2 linked regions of the Caenorhabditis elegans genome follow. The protein of the gene in region 1 purifies or fractionates together with the protein of each later gene. This does not show direct contact. Each region holds a gene or a part of one and is shown in the gene's direction. Other genes may lie near its edges.

Region 1 (7,293 bases):
ATTTTAAAATTTTAAACATCGTCCAAAATGTTAAAGTGCTAATTATTTTAGTATATTCTATGATCTTTTATTCAATTTTTTGAGAGTTGTTTATACTTTTGCTAATCGAACAACTGTCGTTTTTGTTAAAACTCTATTTTTGTCAATAAACAAGTCTACCAGAGGCTAAAATAGAAGTTACGAATACATAATTGAATATTCGTCCAAAAGCCCTCCCAAATCTATCTCACTCACCTCCGTTCAAAACACAATAAAGAAACATGAGAATTCCCCATAGAATACGAGATTTTTGCACCTTTTCCTTATTTTTTATGAATATCATCTTGCAGCATCTAACCAGAAAATCTTCAACCACTTCATCTACGGGCTCTCTACATGTTGATAAAAAGAAACACCTTTTTCGAAAAGATTCCGAAGTCAAGATGGAAGCGATTTTCAAAGAATTGTTCTCTCCTGACGCCAAAATTGTAGACCATTTTGATGGGGAAATGTTGATGATGTAAGCTTTCAAAAAATTATAACCGTGTTAAATAAGAAGATTTTTGAAAAATCGCGTTTATTAAAAAATAACATTCCGGAAGTATTTTTAAAATGACGTATTTAAAGAATAATTTTCAAATGTTTATGAAAATCTTCAAACATATGCGAGGAATTCAACAATCTGAGCTCTACTTATGGTATTCGATGTACATTGCCTATGTATTTCAATTTTAGCCAAACTCTGCTCCAAATTGCGTAGACTTATATACCGTTCATGCTTGACCTGCGCAATTTTTTTTTATTTCTTCCTCTCTTCTTTGAAAATGTTTACAGTATGTAGAAAATAAACCTAAACTCTTCTTGAAAACAAGTACTTCATTCTGTTCATATCCCGTTTCATTGTCTTATTATGAAAAATATGATGTTCATACTTATTATCTTCAGCCCTGGCATTGAACTTGAAGATTCCAAAAATGAAGATTCCCTGTTGATTTCGAATCATGATAGATTCAAACTTCGTCGTCAAACTTCATTAGTACCAAAAAATGAAGTAAAAAAGAATGCATCTCCTCAACCTCGAGTCCGTGTAATTACTCGAAAATCGCCATCTCCGTTACGTAAATTGTCAACTCCAACGCAAAGAAAGCGGGTAAGAAGTTGTGGAAAACAGGAAATTAGGGAAATTCAACACTATCTGATGTTATTTCTTTTTGTTTTCTTTTCGAAATTAATTGAACCAAATGCACGTAGAGAGGGGAAGTTCAAAGCACATTTCTTTTGTTTCAGTCATCCTCCTCGAAAGCCCCTCTTCCAAAATTGAGTGCTCCACCAAGTCTAAAGGTACAATAGATCAAATTAATGGAATTGAAAAAGAACGGTTTCAGCCAAACTTTGTGACGGTAGCCGATGAATCGTTGACTGCAGCGTATTTGCGAAAGAATCGTAAGCTTAGAAGACCATGATGAAGAGTTAATCTAGAAGTTTCAGCAATTCCGTTGAGAAGAGGAGTGTCAATTCCACAGAAGTGATTGGAAATTTCCTACTCTAAAATTGTCAATCAAGATAATTTATAACCTGTTACAATGTAACCTAAATTATTCAATAACTAATAATTTGTAAGTAAATAACATATTATAAATATATTTATTGCGAAGTTAACAAAAATCGAATTTCCTCTATTAGACTTGCACCCGACCATTTTACTTTGACAGTCCATATCTCACTCAGTTCAATCAAAATATTTCATAACATTGAAAATTGCAAAACTAATTTTTCTATAGTTGCTCCTAATATAATGAGAAACTGGATAAAAGAATGTGATGATGTAAGTTTTCAATGAATTATGGGATATTGTTCGACCTCTTAAAAAAAGTCACCAGTGATGATGTGAAATATTTATAGACTGACGCTACTCTACCTTTAACAAAATTTTAGTTAAATGTTTGTTATCCTCCAGTGAAATTTGTGACTAAAAAATCTAAAATTTTGGTAGGTATTTTACAATCCATAAAAAATATGTGACTGCAACGTCATAGAGTAAAACTAGAGCTTAACAATATTAAAACAACAAATCACACAGATCTTCATTGTCATCTCCTCGTTGCTTCCTCTTCTTGTTCCTGACGTCAATATAAGAATCAGGTGTCAAAACAACAAGAAGAAAGGTAAGGTCAAATCAGATCAATAATATTGGCTCTTCCATCCGACGACATGTGTCAGCTGCTCAACAATTTCTCCGTCTTCGTCGTCTTCGTCGTCTCACTCGATTCTCTATTCATCTTGTAGCATTCGTGAGGATCCCCCTAGGTTGTCTCATTATTCATCTCACATCACTTATGAACTATTACCTATTCTCCCTTTGTTTAATACTTCTGTGTTCAATTGTCAAAACAAGCCCAGTAGGACATGATGGAACAGAGGATGATAATCTAGAATCCAGAAGATCTGAAGATGTAACGACGACTCATCCGACGTTCACAGGTTCGAGCCAACAAGGTCCATATTGTAGAACATTAGATGTAGACCAATAGATAAATGTCATAATCATCATTGTCGTCTTCACACGAACATCTTCTTTTTCCTCTTTCTTTTTGGTCTCATTTCTCATTCATGAACAATGATGTGAGAATGTGATGTTTTGAAAATAACAATCGGGTTTTTAAATGGAATTTCCAATTTTCCTAGGATCGCGTGAGCCAAGTTTTTGCAAGACGTGTTGAGAATGAGAAGTATCAGCAAAAAAACCAATATCTTATTTAGAATTCTTCCAAAACAATGGAATGATGAGAGGTCCGGGTATGTGGAAATTTTTAAGGAAGCTCTATTTTATGAACTAAAGTGGTTTTTGCCTCAACTTTCGTTGCAAATTGGTGCAAGGTTGGCAAAAAAATTGGATAAAAATTTTTACATCGATTATAAACATTGGAAAAAGAAAATAATTTGTTAAAAAAGAAATTTTTTAATTTCTTGCAAAATAATTTCAATTGTGATTTTTCTTTATTTTTATAGAATTTCAGAGAATTGAATCTTTGGTTTCAAATATATTTTCCACGTGTACTTTACCGGTCTACTATGTGACCTAGAAAAAGTAAACAACTCGGTCAACGATTTATTCTGGATTTACGACATCCCTTTATCGAACTTAATGAGAATGATCCAAAAAAATTTCCAAATATTTATGACGATTTTAGATGAAAAAAATTGTTCTTTAAAGGTATAATTCATTGAAACGTTGCAAAAAAGTTTCAAAAAAATTTGCTTCCTCTCGAAAAATGGGGAACTCAGTTTTTTCTACCATAATATTGACTCTGCAAAAAAATTTTTTGAACCTATTGTTCAAATTTTAAAACTGGTTGTATTATTCTTACTCGAACATTTTATAGGTTCAGATTTACAGAAAGTCTCGAGGTTTCCCAAGAAACCAATTTTTGAAAATTGGGCAAATTACCAAATTTTTTCCTGACATATCTGTATGAGTCATAAAACGTCAAGAATACACATTTCCCTTCCACTCACTCACTTTTCGAAACTTTATCCATTTTCAATAACAACAACTCTGATGCTCGACATGTTCCCTGTGCTCATATCACGTGCACTACCGATTGCTCAGTTGATTTCTCTCATACACATATATCTCTTTCTTCGATTTGAAGAAGAAAACAACATAATCAGAAATAAATTTTTTTTTGAGAAAATAATGTCCTTGGAATCGTTTTTTGTGTGTCTAGGAGGCTCTGGAGTGAGAGGAAAACATGTGGAAATTCAGGCAAATACTCTGACCCCAAAATCATTGACTACCTGTTCTGATTGCCTTCCTGTTCTCATTGCCTACTTGTTGCTCGTTGACTACCTTTTCTCATTGCCTACTCTTTCTCATTGCCTACCCTTTGCTCATTGTCTACTCGTTTTCTTCATCAGTCAAGAGGCACGTACAAGGACCGTATTCCAAGAATACATCAAAGGTACATCTACTCAATTTGTTCATTCATTCAAAGGGTATACATATTTACAATCTTTCAATCTGTACACAACATTTCGGGCAACAATTAGTAGTAGCTGAGTCATGTTTTAATTTATATTAATTTTGATAGGACACGCAAAGGCAGGGCAACAGTCATTATTCATCAACATTAATAGCAACAATAGCAACAAAAAACAACAATTGAAAACTTGAAAAAAAGTGGCAAAGAACGTAAAAACAATAACAATGAAATTTGACATAAGAAATTCATTCGGAGTCGGAGTCAATCACTCGTTTTCTGCTTTTGAGCATATAGGAACATGACGCCGTAGTATCAGACGTGTCAGACAAGGATGCACTGGAGTTAATAGTGGAAATAAAAACTATTGAATTAGAGAGAAAAAATATTTCTGATCATTTTGTTAGTTGGACATTTGTTTTCCAGATGTGTATTTTTTGAGATACGTCAGTTTGAAAATACTCATTTCAGAGAGTTTTGGAGGTTATTTCATTTTTAGATCGAAAGCCACTATTAACTCCAGTGCATCCTTGTCTGACACGTCTGATACTACGGCGTCATGTTCCTATATGCTCAAAAGCAGAAAACGAGTGATTGACTCCGACTCCGCATGTTTCTTATGCCAAATTTCATTGTTATTGATTTTACGTTCTATGCCACTTTTTTTCAAATTTTTAATTGTTGTTTTTTGTTGCTATTGTTGCTATTAATATTGATGAATGTTTTAATGAATGTTGCCCTGCCTTTGCGTGTCCTATCAAAATTAATATAAATTAAAACATGACTCAGCTACTACTAATTGTTGCCCGAAATGTTGTGTACAGATTGAAAGATTGTAATTATGTATACCCTTTGAATGAATGAACAAATTGAGTAGATGTACCTTTGATGTGTTCTTGGAATACGGTCCTTGTACGCGCCTCTTGACTGATGAAGAAAACGAGTAGACAATGACCAAATGGTAGGCAATGAGAAAGAGTAGGCAATGAGAAAAGGTAGTCAATGATTTTGGAGTCAATGAGTATTTGCCGGAAATTCAAGCAACAACACAATATTAGTTAAGTGAAGTATTTTCAGTTCAACGATTAGATGCTCCGATTGAAAGAATTGAGATACGATTAATTGATGATAACACAACACATTCAGCACCTGAGGTCACTGTGAGTCCTGTAAGAGAAGTGGAGAGAGTTAAAGCTGAAAATGATGGAAATCAAGAATTGGTCTCTACGGAACAGGTAATAACACAATTATTAGAATATAAAGTTTATTATGTAGTTCTACAGCCTATGGGAAATTTCCATTTAGGTTTATTCTCAAAAATTGAGATTAACAGCGCAACCAAGAAAAACAAATAGAAGAAATAAAAACAACTGTTCAATTTTGATGGTGTCGAGACCCGCTATCGTATTCTTATGTCACAAATTGCACAATAAATAGTGCAAAAACCACTTTCCCATTATTTCTTTAAACTTATGAAACGCCATTTATTTCTCACTACTACAGCAAATTATAGTTTGTCAAAAAGTGATCGATTACTGTATTAAAATTTCGCAATTATGTACATGAAACGCGTGCTTAAAGGCACATGGACATGGATTCGTATCGGTCTCACAGCGAAAATTTGTTTAAAAGTTTGTACTGTCATCGACTTTTTTCTCGTGGCGAGACCCATCCGACCAACTCTGTGCGCTTCTCGTTTGGCAAATGACGGAATTACCATATGTTGAGTTCTCGGCGGCTCGTAAGTTTTAAATTAAACATTTAAACCCTCAAATTGTCTAAGATTTTTCATTTGCAACAAAATCTCAAAATGACTTTTAGACTGCTGAGCTTGTCCATGAACCAGATCAACATCCATCACCAGCACCTACAGAACCATTAACCGCTAACGATGATATGTACAAAAAAGTTGAATATGTAGTTCAACCGACTTCAAATGAACTTACACCTACTACGGATAGATCATCTGAGCCAATTGTCGTTGGTGAAGATCCTTCCTACTACTCAACAACACCGTCTGATCAGCAAGCTAGTGCAGAGGTGATATTTTCTAGAGATTTGAAATCAATGATAAATAGAAGTTTAAAATTCAGGCAAAAGCATGGATTTCAGTGTCTACAACAGTTCCGAAGTTTGAGGGAGACATTGATGAAGATGATCTACCCCCGCCACCAGCTACTGAGGATACGGAGGTAGATTTTCCGTTCTGAGAAGAAATCTAAAATTGGACATTTTCAGAATGAAGAACCTGAGGAGGAATGTTTGGCAAATAAAGAAAAATTGAGTGATGAAGTTATTGAAAAACTTCAAGCAGAAACTACAATGTACTATAGACTTGTCCGTCAACGAAATGAGCAACAAAAAGAGTATTGTGGAGGTGGAGAAGCCAGAGATACATCTTCCGATATGTTCAGAAGATGTAGTAATTGGAGAGCCGAGAAACTTGTCTACTATTACAAATTGATGCGTAAAACCTATTGCCAAGTTGACAATTGGCCAAATTCGCCGAAAATCAAGAAGACATATGGAGAATATCTGAATTTGTTTGGCACTTTTTATGCTTTCCAAAAGTAGATTTGTATTTTTTGATTTTCTCTGAAACGGGTATCCTTATCAATATTCCTGTACACGATCTTATTCGTCTGTTTATCGATAAACTGTCATACAAATCGTCATATTAATCAAATGCTATGAAAAATCAAAAGCATTTTCTCTCTGGCTCTTCCAGTGTTGGTAGTAGTTTGTTAATCAAGCATTGACGATAGATTTTTCTGTTTTACATTTGATTTGTCAATTTTTGAATGAAATGTTTATATAAACTTTGCAACTAACAACAATTTCTACACCAGTTCTTTAAAGAAATCGGCAAGGATCTTCTATATTGGCTTTTCTCGACTTTCCGTGACATTTTGAAGATTTTGAAGAAAATCGTCTCGTCCCATGTGCTTATCGGCTTCTACCCTCAATTCTACCAATTGTTGAATGTGCTCATTGCTGAGTTGCTCCATTTTATCCGAGTCTAAATCCTGAAAAAAACAAAAATTTTTAAGAACCAATAATAAGACAAGATAACTAACTTTTCCAATGTTTCCTTTTCGAATTCCAGCGCTCGATAATTGTTTGGACAGCATCACACAATAATTCTTAAAAACAATTAATTTTTTTAACGTAATTTCACCATCGACATACCGTCCACTCTGTGATGAATGGCTTCACAAACTCCGGTTTTGCCGTTTTGTGTCTTTTGAATTCATCTTTCACATATGTATCGCCCATGAGCCGAGCTTGAGCCGGCAATCCATAATGAAGTCTGAAAATCAGGAATTTGTTTTAG
Region 2 (3,212 bases), on another chromosome or scaffold:
TTTTTTGACAAATTTGGAGAAATTGCCGATTTTTTTCGCAAAAAAATTCTTTAAAATTCGGAATTTTTTTAAAATTTAAAATCCGAAAATTCACCAAAAAATGGCTCAAAAATTTCCAAAATTTTCGAATATTTGCTTAAATTACTAGAATTTTCTCGAAATTTCACTTAACTTTTTTCCATAGTTTGAAATCTTCTTTAAAAAAACCAACATTTGAAATTTTCACTCGATTTTCTAGAATTTACTTGAAAAAATGACGATTTTCGTTAAAAACACCTGAAAATTCATTCAGAAATGTGAATTTTTCTCAAGATTTAAATTTCGAATTTTTCCAATTTAAACACCTCAAAAATTGGGTTTTCAGTGAGAAAATTGAATTAAATACGAATTATTTCAACTTTTTTCTGCTCTTTTGAGGAAAATCAGAAAATAAAACAATTTTTTGAAATTAGAGTTTTTTTTTTCGATTAAAAAATGTCGAAAATTCTTTTTTTTAAATATAAATCCCTCCAAAATTAGCTAAAACTCCAAAAATTTTCCTGCAGACAATCGACAAATTCGTCCTAAAACGCAAGGACGCGTCCGACGTCAAAACTTGGGATGAATTCGAGGCCTACGATAAAGTGCTCGTCGATGTTCCGTGCTCGACGGATCGTCTATCAGTCAGCACCGACGACGGAAACCTTTTCAGCACAGGATCCACTCAGCAGAGGCTTGATCTTCCGGTTCTTCAGACCAAGATTCTTGTGTAAGGATCCTCGGCTTTCCCTCAAATTATTTTTCCTTTCAGAAATGCACTGCGATCTGTAAAAGTTGGTGGCTCGGTTGTCTACTCGACGTGCACACTCTCACCAAGCCAAAACGAGGTTTTCGCTCGAACCTGGTCTTGGCACGACAAATTTTTTTGTTAAATAGGAAAATATATGCGCCTTTAAGGAGTACTGTAGTTCCAAATTTTTTGTTGCATCGATTTTTGAAAAACTCCTTGAAAAATGATGACAAATATAGTTTTTTCTCGATTTGTAAAAAATTCGAAAATTGATGAAAAATCGATGAAAATTTTACAAAAAACGTGAAAAACTCAATTTTTCAAAACAATATTCGGCTATTTTCCAATTTTAGTTTAAAAAAAATCGCATTCTGCATTTTTTTTTGCGCTCCCTGCCGTGTTTGCGTATTTTCACCGCTACAGTACCCCGAAATGCTCAAATTTTGCTCTGATAGTTTCACAAAAGTTTAAAATGTGAAGAAATCGTTTCTTTTAACACTATAAATCTCGAATTTTCACTAAACAGTTGAGAAAATCAAATCAAAATTTCAAATTTTGACGATTTCCGTTTAAAAATTTGATTCTGGCTTCAACTCTCGCCCGATCCCAACATTTTCCCTCAAAAAAAATCCCGAAATTCTGCATGCATTTTTTCGTAGGATCCGGTGATTGCGTACTTTCGCGGCTACAGTACTTCTGGCGTGTCGAGACCGGGGTTTTTTGTCGAAATAACAGCTCAAAAATGCTAATTCAAATTTCTTCAGGCAGTCGTCGAGAACGCTGTAGCCGTCGTACGCAATGACTTTGGAATCGTGACCGTCGAGGAATCCCTACATCAACTCGTATCCCATATGACGTCATCAGGCCTCTATCGTTTCCATGACACTCCACTGGGAGCCCTCGTCGTGCCGTTTCTACCCTCTAACTTTGGACCAATGTATATTTGCAAACTGACCAGATTGCAATAGATTTTTAATATTTGATGAATTTTTTTAAATTTCTAGATTTTGCTATTTTTTGTTTGTTTTTTTTAAATCTGAATTTTTAAATTTATGTCTTGTTTTAAAATTTTATTATTTATGCAGTACCCCCATGGGTGCATCTGCCGTTCCATCAGTACCTAATTTCAAATTCATAGAATTTTTCATTGATCCTTCTTGTTCGTTCTCTATGTATGTATTGCGAAATCATTTGAACAGTCGATTTTTTGGCGGGAACCTGTGTCGCCCAACAGACAGCGGTCAATTTGTATTTATTTCGAAATCGCCGAGCGTGTCTGACCATCTGCTCGCTTTCCCGTCCTTTTTCGGCTCATTGAGCACAACATTTTCGGTGGTATTGCGCCTTTTTCTATCGATTTTTAGTCCATAAAAGCAAGCTCACAATCTCGTTCTCTGTTTCAAAAATTCACATTGCAGAACCTCCCGCCGCCATGTCGACCCAAGCCGATCAGCTGAAAGCGCTCCGAATCAAGACGGGAACCGTGCAACGTCTCGTCAAAGAAGTCGCCTATTACGAGAAGCAAGTTGTGAAGGAGGAGCAGAAGGCTGCCCAACTCGCCGCCGACGCCACCAACGAGGACGAGGAGTATGTTGCCAAGAAGTCGAAGGATATTGTTAAGGTTTTTTGAAATAATCCGATTTACGAGTATACGAAATTAAAATATTTTCAGGAAACTGCCAACATGGTCCGCGATTCTCAATCACGTCTCCAAAAAGCTGTGGCCGACCTCCGTGAATCGATTGCTTCTGGGAATTATCCGGAGGAAGCCGCAGAATTCGTCAATGCGAAGACGCTTGTGGACTCCATTTCTGCTTAATTTATGATACTCTTTTGTTATTTTGGGATTTTCGGTGATTTATGATGAATAATTATTGCATTTTACTTGAATACATGGTTTATAATGCCGTATAAATAATTTTAAGAAGCAATTTCGCTAATATTTCCATACGAAAAATATACAGATGTCCGTTAATTCAACGATTTTTGCCTGGTTCGCGCTAAAAAGCAAAACATAAAATTCGAGCTCGTAAATCGACACACGAAATCGCATCGAGACCCTTCCAACCACTCCCATGCGCCTTTAACCCATTTCTAATTTTATCCAATTTTAGCCTGTTTTCTATGCAATCTTTATGGATTTTCAATTAATTTTGAGTAATTTCGATTAATTATAATGATAATTTTTTAAAGATCAATAATCGACTCAACTGGGATCATAAAAACAAAAAATATGGCTTCTGGTAAGTGTTAGCTTTTCGGTTTCAAGAAAATTTCATAATTCTTTCTTAATTTAGAAGCTGAAAAGGACAAGTGCCAGAGCTGGCTTGCGAAACAAGATTTGGACAAAGTCGGAGTCGATAATTTGAACCCACTCACCGAGGAGGTACTGAAAATCAATAATTTTTGAGTTAAAGAGTTATTTTTCAGGTTATCTCTCGAC

The links.
Region 2: the proteins of T10G3.1 (region 1) and tbca-1 fractionate together in Caenorhabditis elegans (co-fractionation; one large-scale study listed by BioGRID). This does not show direct contact.

What each region holds. Positions count from the first base shown.
Region 1 is NC_003283.11:13,468,548-13,475,840, reverse strand, and holds T10G3.1 (uncharacterized protein), read left to right. Parts: upstream 1-2,161; 5' UTR 2,162-2,315; coding exon 2,316-2,460; intron 2,461-5,036; coding exon 5,037-5,194; intron 5,195-5,780; coding exon 5,781-5,999; intron 6,000-6,052; coding exon 6,053-6,151; intron 6,152-6,197; coding exon 6,198-6,533; 3' UTR 6,534-6,775; downstream 6,776-7,293. Other genes in the region: T10G3.8 (Cyclin-dependent kinase inhibitor), read left to right, coding at 330-499, 925-1,129, 1,267-1,320, 1,365-1,422, 1,468-1,508; F25H9.7 (Succinate dehydrogenase assembly factor 3), read right to left, coding at 6,836-6,985, 7,037-7,102, 7,149-7,269.
Region 2 is NC_003279.8:2,310,309-2,313,520, forward strand, and holds tbca-1 (Tubulin-specific chaperone A), read left to right. Parts: upstream 1-2,187; 5' UTR 2,188-2,201; coding exon 2,202-2,390; intron 2,391-2,441; coding exon 2,442-2,588; 3' UTR 2,589-2,649; downstream 2,650-3,212. Other genes in the region: 5-cytosine rRNA methyltransferase nsun-4, read left to right, coding at 546-748, 791-866, 1,534-1,737; eif-2gamma (protein-synthesizing GTPase), read left to right, coding at 3,003-3,012, 3,067-3,155, 3,200-3,212.